Schizosaccharomyces pombe: one gene and its partner. The gene in region 1 interacts genetically with each later gene. Each region holds a gene or a part of one and is shown on either strand. Other genes may lie near its edges.

What was found.
Region 2: mutations in fcf2 (region 1) and cwf28 together harm fitness more than expected from each alone (negative genetic interaction), as found in Schizosaccharomyces pombe (one large-scale study listed by BioGRID).

The regions. Positions count from the first base shown.
Region 1 is NC_003424.3:3,143,384-3,147,672, forward strand, and holds fcf2 (rRNA processing protein Fcf2), read left to right. Parts: upstream 1-2,483; coding exon 2,484-3,176; downstream 3,177-4,289. Other genes in the region: SPOM_SPAC688.16 (uncharacterized protein), read left to right, coding at 539-663, 742-946; TRAPP complex subunit Bet5, read left to right, coding at 1,831-1,867, 1,915-2,345; DNA-binding transcription factor Sak1, read right to left, coding at 3,824-4,289. UniProt on the Schizosaccharomyces pombe protein: Involved in pre-rRNA processing and 40S ribosomal subunit assembly. Required for the early cleavage steps of 35S rRNA at the A(0), A(1), and A(2) sites.
Region 2 is NC_003423.3:3,990,529-3,995,598, forward strand, and holds cwf28 (splicing factor Cwf28), read right to left. Parts: upstream 2,458-5,070; 5' UTR 2,310-2,457; coding exon 1,164-2,309; 3' UTR 1,084-1,163; downstream 1-1,083. Other genes in the region: fes1 (Hsp70 nucleotide exchange factor), read left to right, coding at 139-1,002; signal recognition particle receptor alpha subunit Srp101, read left to right, coding at 2,929-3,129, 3,308-4,468, 4,547-4,828. UniProt on the Schizosaccharomyces pombe protein: Involved in spliceosome maturation and the first step of pre-mRNA splicing.

The sequences.
Region 1 (4,289 bases):
TATACTTTTTTTTTTATTTCCTAGTAATATTATTGTTTTTTTGGTTTAGTATTTCGTTATGTGAATAGTAAACTTGACTATTCAGTAATACTATAAAAATAACAAATACTGATATTGTAAAATCTCACATTCTATTTATTATTAGTAACCCAACAGATTTGCACACATATGAAAAAGTAATTATTCAAAACACTAATTTACCAAGTTGAATCAACTTCTAATGTTTTGAAACGGATTTGCTTGAGGAATATGTGAGATTGTCAATGAATGTAAGTGTCAAATTACTCAATTGTCTATTTGGTTAAGTTAGTACTGCTATGTTTTTACGGGTTTTATTAAAAGCATATTAAACGCCGAATAAAAGGCAACATTCTTTATTATAGCAGATATTGTTTGTAAGCACGATAGCGAGGAGTTTTACCGCTTCCTTAACGTTTGCTATTTGTATTGATGGTCATACTATAGATATCCCGTTTAAAGAATTCTTCTACCTATATAGAACCTGAGTAAATTTAGACCAAACTAAGATCATTACAATATGTCCTGCCTGAATTTACATGTGCCTAAAAATCCCGTTGGAAAATATATTCCACTTGTAGTGCTTTTGCAAATGTACATTATCTACGTGGAGCCATATTATGGATTACATTACTTTGAAAGTGTGTAAGTGAATATGAAATTCTGCAAAGAAATATAAAGAATAATAATGTAAATAAACAAGAAAGCTAACATGAAAACAAGGCGACAATTTTTAGGGCCTAAAATATTGTATGGAACTGTTTATTTTTTGGTCATTTGCCATTCCATTGAGAGTGCAATTGCTTTCCTATTATGTTTAAAAAAGGGATTGCCATTTTGTAGTTCAATGAAATGGATTGTGTCTACCTTTATTTTTGGAGGACCAACGCTTGCTATGCTGAATAAGCAGAAAAAACATATTGCTTGAGTGCAAATTGTTTTACAGAGCCATTGTTTTGTTAACTGTATTATCACGATGAATGAAATAAAATTACAGTTTATGCCAATTGCCAATCGAGTTATTATTTTTTTTTTGTTGACAAAAATCTATATTTCCGGATTTTTGTTTATTTTAGTGTTTTCTAGAGTAGACATATTTCTGAACGATATAACATGAATAAAGGGAAAGTTGTTTAAATTTTCACGGTCTTCGGACCCAAACCTGTAAGGAAAAGCAAAAATAATTTTTATAATAATAATTGTATCAATTTCATCAGATCAAGGGTATAAAATCATAAGATGAGAATAACAATAGCTTCGAAGGGATAACGCTTATGCTTTTGAGGTTGCTAGGAATTAAAAAAAAAAAAAAAAAAAAAAAAAAAAACCCTTAGTTTGTCAGCGCTGGTGTTGAAGCCGGGATATAATATCCCTTCATATTGGTAACTAATTTACAATAGAAATATTATATGTATTTATTGATACCTACAATACTAGCAGTTAACAGTTGAAAAAGTTAATTTGCTTGTCGGAATCGTGTAAACTCATTTCAAATAATGAGTGTATAGGAAGCCGCCAATTTTTGGACAGAACTTAAACGCTTTATTTTTTTATTTTAAATCCATTTAGCTGCAACAGTCCAACGTTCGAAGACCACTTGCTGATTGTGGTCTAAATAATTTGCTTTCTTTAGTTTAACTATAAATAAAGTTGCTTTTACCGAATATGTTCAATGATAGCATCGTCCAACTGAGATAATGCTTGACTGCACGCTGTTAGCCAGAGCCCTTACTTAGTACACCAAAAGTCACGACTTAGCAAATCATCATTAGCATTCTCGATATTATCCGTCTTTTTCCTGTAGTATTTATTATGACTATTTATGCCTTTTATATTTATAGCAGAAAATGTATGCTTTATTAGGCTTGCCACATGATTCAACTAACAAAAATGTAGGTGAATGTGTTTTCGCACATAGGTGGAAACCCTCGGATCGCAACTCTATGGAAACGTTAGTTTCTCAGTTGGAACAAAATTCTATTGAAGATGACATGGAGAAACTCATTTTTGGTGTAGTATTTTCCTTGAGAAATATGGTAAAGAAAATCACAGCTGACCAAGATCAATTCATGTCCTATACGACCAGCAAATACAAACTACATTTTTACGAAACACCTACGAATCTACGTTTGATTTTCATTACAAATCCAAAGATAGATTCTTTAACTCATGTCTTACAGCAGATTTATACAACACTTTATGTCGAGTTCGTGGTTAAGCATCCTTTGTATACTCATGTCCCTCCCAGTGCCGAGGAAGGGGGCATTAATTGCGAAATATTTCGTATTACACTAGACCGATTTGTGAGAACGTTAAGCTGCTTTTAACAATGAACACTTGTGATACGTTAAAGGTACATTTAGATTTTATGTTACTTGTGGATGATTTTTGCGAAAGTAAAGTTGGTCAATTGCCTTTCTTCATCTACTGACAACGCTTTTGCCTAAATCCGTTTATTTTTAACAATGACTGAGATTGGGCTCTCTGTAGATTTAGCAACAATCTCAAAGCTACTAGAATCTGCAAAATCCACATTACAAGAAAAGCAAGCGTCTGACGATGATAAGCATGGCCAACAAAAGTTGCTCACCAAAATTCCCAAAATAATCAGCTCTTCTTTTGAATTGCCTTCATATTTTGAAAAGAAATTCGTTATGGGATTGAAAAAAGATGAATTAGTGGAGAATAGCGAGTCATATATTAATGATGCGTCGTTCGAGCCAACAGTACCTATTTATGAAAGTCATGTTTCAGCCCCTGGTATATCAAAGAAGAAGAAAAATATTAAAGACACTGCTGGATCGAATTGGTTTGACATGCCTGCCACCGAGCTCACAGAATCGGTGAAACGCGACATTCAGCTATTGAAGATGAGAAATGCACTAGATCCGAAACGGCATTACCGAAGGGAAAACACGAAATCTATGCCCAAATACTTTCAGGTGGGTTCCATCGTTGAAGGTCCTCAGGACTTTTACTCTAGTCGTATCCCCACTCGAGAGCGCAAAGAGACAATTGTTGACGAATTATTGCACGATTCAGAAAGACGATCGTACTTCAAGAAAAAATATCTAGAATTACAAAAATCGAAAATGAGTGGACGGAAGGGGCAATATAAAAAACTTCAGCAGCGCCGAAAACCTTCTTACTTGAAATAGTGGTTGATGTTTCCATTTTCCGTTGTTTAAGTTATTTTGTCGTTTTTTTAATTTAATATATGGTCTTTAAGGGGAATATTTAAACATTTTATTTGAAGTCTTGTTTTTTAAACACGAAGTTTCTCGTAGAAAGTTCGCTTTTAGTATGATGCTGTTTTTTTGGGGGTTCGCTATTCTTGTTGAATGATATCGATGCCAATTTCCTCATTTGTATGGGCTTAATATTCTTGTTACTGCCAGAGAAATGCAATAATTACACTCAATAGTTTAAATAGGTTTTATAAAATAGTTATCGGAGAACATTTATATTAATCAATACATATGTGATAGTCGATATCAAAATTAAAGACAAAAATGTTGAAACTCTATTTACTGACAGTGAAATTTTAAAAGAAATAAAAAACAAATATAAAGTATAGTCACTTTCAATTTGGTATATGTATGGACGTTCACCCATAAGAAACAAGCGCCAGGATTATAGTAATCTAATTGCATTTCAAAAGTTCACAGACTTAAACAAATAGACCTCCTGAACAAAAGAAACATATATTAAAAAACAAAAACAATAATATGAATGATATTAACTTTTGTCAGTGTAATTACGCTTGCTTTTTCGAAGCCCTAAAAAGGGTCAACTATATTGTACATCAACTACAAGCACCATTTGTATCAAATACAATGGATATATAGTCGTCTTCCTTTTGCTTCTGAGCATTCTGGTAGGCAGCTTCCATCAAGGAATTTTTAGTGGCTTGTTGTTGTTGTTGTGATTGCAAAGCTTCGATGTCTTGTTGGAAGTGTTGCTGGGATTGACGGTGCTCCTGTAAATGAGGAGGGATATTACTCTGAGATATTCCAGCTTTATTATGAAAGTTAGCATGATGCTGTTCCAGCTCATCATAACTATCATCGAGGTATCCGCCAATCTCTGCCACCCAAGTCATGTATTCATCGACCCAACATCTAATTACCCAAAGAGCCCCAAATGCTTCACCTCCACTGACCGTGATTTCACGAAGCACACTAGTTTGTAAAGCGCCTAGGCATAGAAGAAACATTCTAGGAGAGCAGGAGGGAAATCTGGAAGGCAACTCCAGAAAAAAATCTGCCATA
Region 2 (5,070 bases), on another chromosome or scaffold:
TTGTATCTTACCATTTTTACTAACTTTTGCTACTTTTTCTTTTTGAATTTTTATTTGAATAAGCATTTTCTACCCAAACCGAAATTTTTATTCAAAAGTTCAAATTTTTAGGTATTATTATTGTTTATTCTTGACACAATGGAGAAACTTTTGGCCTTCAGTACGCAGTTGCAAGCTCAAGGAAACTCTTCCAATTCTCCTCCTGATCCTAAAGACCTTGATCCCTCAGTTTTAGATCATATTTTTGGAGCAAACCCAGCTGATGAAATGAGGAAAGCGATGGACGCAATTGAGGATCCATCGGTACCTTTAGATCAGAAAGAGATAGCTTTTGACAACTTAGAAATGCTCGTAGAGCATATTGACAATGCAAATAATTTGGTTCCCCTGCAATTGTGGCCTCGCCTATTGAAACAGCTTGAGAGTCCGGAATCTACCTTGCGCAGATTAGCTGCTTGGACGATCGCAACTGCCGTTCAAAATAATCCTAAATCTCAACAAGCGCTTATAGAAAATGATGGATTGAAGATTCTCTTCGGCGCCCTAAAAAAAGAGGATTCGGATGAAACAAAAAATAAAGTCCTTTATGCAATAACTAGTGAGCTTAAACTTAACGAAGCTGGAATTGCTTTATTAGATAAAATCCCAAACTCTTGGGAAATGCTGATTGAAATCTTGGAGCTTAAACACTCGGTTATGACAAAACGAGTTATCTTTTTTTTCTATGCATTACTTATTCAAGAAGATAAATCAAAACAAATTATTCTTCAAAAGGCACACGAATTTCAGATTCCAGAAAAAGTTTATCAATTCAGTCTTGAACATTCTGTCGATGAGGATTGTGTTACCAAATCTCTTCATACACTTTATTTATTCCAGAAAAATAAAGTGTCTGTCGCAAATACTAACGAGTTATTAAAGTCGCTCGTACAATTTAAGTCAGAGTTTCCTGAAATTTTCACCGTCGATGAATGGAAAGCATTTCACGAAGCTCTTGAATAAAGGTTGAAAGCTTCGATTACTATTTTTATTATTCATGTGGACTACGGAGCAATATAATGAGATGTTTTATTTCGTTTATGACTGATAAACAATTTTTTGGTTATTTGGAAAGGATACTCTAGTAACTGTGGTACTTAAAAAGTAAGATAATCGTAAATTCATTAAAGTGTACGAGTACTTCTGTAACTTCTATCTGGATTTTCTCTCTCAGTATATCTATCGCTTCTATGAGAACGTTTTTTATATGAATAACTCCTTCCTTGATAGTAATCATCTGAATAACGGTCTGTTCGATGTTGTTTCCGGCGCTCCGAATGGTATTCGCGATACTTAGTTCTGTCTGGATCTCTATCGCGTTTGTTGTAATTTCGTGAATTATAATCTAAATGTTTACTGCTCACTGAAGACTCTCTTGAGAGGTTGTTATCTCGGCTTCTTTTTCTGAATAGTTCTGAACTGGGAGTTAAGTTGTCAATGGAATTTGACTTCTTCTGTACTTCAGTATGTTCGTTTTGTGAATTCAGAGCGGAATTTGATTCTAGAGGCTTAACAGGAAGAAACATAGTCTTTTTTGGATTTTTCCAAATATCCAGCTCAGTAAGTTCGGAATCCACAGGCTTGGCTCCCATACCCAAAAACGTCGGCCTTTGATTAACATCAAAAGCATCTTTAGAAGATAATTGACCATTCCAACCCATTCCTCGAAGCATGGCGGCGCCAAATTCTTCAACCGGAATTTCCGAGTAATCTTTCATATTAGAAGGCTCCGGAAGCTCGTCAATGTCTTTTCTATATGCATCTTTCTCGTTAACAACATTAGTGGTAATCGGCTGTAAGTTGGCAGAATTAGCACTTTTAACATCGTCATTTAAATCATTAAGGACAAGTTGGACTTCTTCAGGAAGAATATCAGTACTTTCTTTATTTGTGGCTATCTTATTTTGAGCCTTTTCATTTGAATTATTTGCCTTCCAGTCCACAATTTCATTATCCGCTGCTGATGAAGAAGCCACCCGAATATTTAGACCATAATTTAAGCCGCTATCTGGCAATTGTGAAGGTTTCTCATGAACTTCTGTTTCTTTTTTTTTAAACCTGGCTTTTCTTTTTTCCATCCAGTTCTCATCACTTGCAATGTGGATTATCTTTGGCGCTCTTTTCTTTTCGTGTATGCGCTGAATAGTTTCATTCTGATAATGAACTCCCTCTTCAGCGCTAAATCCAGTAATAAGTTGAGGACCTTTTAATTTTTTTTCATCTTCATCCTCAGAATCGCTGAATGCTTCTAATACGGCTTTTCGCTTCATCAGAGTTATTATGATAACTCACTTGTTTGCGACTAAGCGTATTACAATGAACAAAAAAAATAAAATGGCAAAAATCGGCCAGATTATAAGTAGGAAGGAAAGTTTAAAATTACAGTGAAAATAGTCTTGAGAATAATCACATTCGTACAATGAGAGTTGTGAAGCTTTTCAGGAATTTTTCGTTGCCCAGACATGGAATAGTGTGTGCTCCCTTTACCTCTTTATTTGGATTACAGAATTCATGCTCATTTCTCCCTTACTTAAAACGCACCTTCAAATAGCAGTAAAAAAATAGCTTTTTTATTTAGTGGCATTTTTTATTAATATAAAAGTATAAACAATTTTGGTTGAAACGAAAGCCTACTGTTAATATCAACCTTTAGTCTCAAATTGCATCTATCCTTGTATAATATTGCATACAACAAGTTTTAAGGTAATCTTTAAAATACGTTAAGAAAAATATGTTTAAGCAAATAGCTTAACTCAATTAGCACCATAGATTTGGTATAGTGCGTTATTATGTATTGTACGGCAGTGAGCAATGTGTTTAATCAAGAACACTCCTTCTTAGTTGGTGAGTAGTTTACTACTTTTAAAGCCATTTGTGATTGAGCCTGGAATGATTGACTTGTTTGCGATAGTTAATAAAGGAGGCATAGTACTTTGGAAAAAAACAAATTCTCTTGTTAATTTGAAATGCCTTCAAGTTTTATTTCACGAAGCTTTCTTAAGTGAGCAAAGAACGGTGAACAACACCGTAACATTTGATCGGTACACCATGCAGTATCAAGAGGCTACACAATATAGCATAGTTTTTGTGGTAAGTTTAATATATTGTGATTTGTGCTTTGACAGAAATTGTCAATTACTATACACCCAAAATGAGGTCCAAAAATTTTTTTGTTTATACTTTATCTTTGATTTTCTATTATTTGTCAAAGTCAAAGCCATACCTTTATCGTGTCATTTGAACTTAATTAACGCGGTTGAATTTTTAGGTTGTGTTTCAAGATTTGAAATGTATGGCATATTCTCAATCACTGCTTAATAGTGCTCATAATATATTTCTGAATCTATTTAAAGAAAAATTAGAAGATCGTCAAGTTCCTAATGAAGCAGAAGTTGAAAAACTGTTCGCTCCCATTTTTAATCGTAAATCAGCACAACTGGAGAATGAAACAGACACGAAATCTTTACCTGTTGAGGCTAATAATGATAACTCAGCAAGAAAGAAAAATGAATATGAAATGAAGAAAAAAGGCGCTCAATCCAAGCAAACAAATGCCCCTAAAAAAGGAAAGAAGCAACTCAGAAAATGGGATGATCAAATAACTGAGGAAGAACAGGCTGCATTGAACTATTCTAGTCAAGCATCTTCTGCTTCCCAAACAGTCGATAATTCCCAACTTTCTTCTATTGTGGGTAATAATAATAAGTTTCAAAAGACTGGTAGTGGTGATGTTATTATAAGTGATTTGGAAATGGATCCCAATCAAACAATTTCCAATAAATCTGCATCTTCTGCGTTTTCCCTTTTCTCCAACTTAATAGGTGGGAAATACTTGAAGGAGGAGGATCTTAGTCCAATTTTAAAGCAAATGCAAGAACATTTAACAAAAAAGAATGTCGCAAATTCTATAGCTCTGGAGCTTTGTGAATCTGTGAAGGCTTCGTTGATAAACAAAAAAGTTGGTTCGTTTGATACTGTGAAAAACACAGTAAACAAGGCCTTTCGGGATAGGCTTACTCAAATACTCACCCCAAGTACATCTTTGGACCTTTTGCATAGTATTCGTTCTGTACGCAAAAACGAAAACCGTCCGTATACCATTTCTCTCATTGGCGTCAATGGTGTTGGAAAATCTACAACATTGGCTAAAATAGCGTATTGGCTTTTATCTAACAACTTTCGAATCTTAGTTGCTGCCTGCGATACTTTTCGCTCGGGTGCAATTGAACAACTCGGAGTACATGTGAAAAATCTCCAAAGTTTGAAGGGTAGCTCCATTGAATTATTTGCACAGGGATATGGTAAAGACTCGAGCTTTGTTGTTAAGAACGCTGTTGAGTATGCCAAGCAAAATAGTTTTGATGTTATATTAATTGATACTGCTGGCCGGAGACATAACGATCAAAGGCTTATGGGATCATTGGAAAAGGTAATTACTTACAAAATTGATTAAGTATTGAGTCTTCTACTAAGATAGAATTGTTTGAACTTTGAACTAACATAACAGTTTACTAAAGCTACTAAGCTGGATAAAATTTTTCAAGTGGCAGAAGCATTAGTAGGAACAGATTCCTTAGCACAAGCAAAACATTTCCAAGCTTCCCTTTATCATCGCCCATTGGATGGTTTTATTATTTCTAAAGTTGATACTGTGGGTCAGCTAGTTGGTGTTATGGTTGGCATGGTATACGCGGTAAGGGTACCTATCATATTCGTAGGCATTGGACAAACTTACAGTGATCTTCGTACATTATCAGTCGACTGGGTAGTTGATCAACTGATGAAGTAAGCCATTAAATGTTTACCTTTAACTATAAGATTTTTTACCATATTATATTAATGGGATATCAATTACTTTGGTAACAATTTTTTTAAGCTTAATTGTTTTTTTATTTGTTCGTTGAATCAGTATTCGAGATTTAGTTTTGTATTGGTTTCCGTTTAGTACCTTTCGCAGTGCGCGTGTGGGTCAATTTAGCGATTTCAAATATTCTAATATCAAACCGCTAAAATCTTGTTTTTCTCATTTCA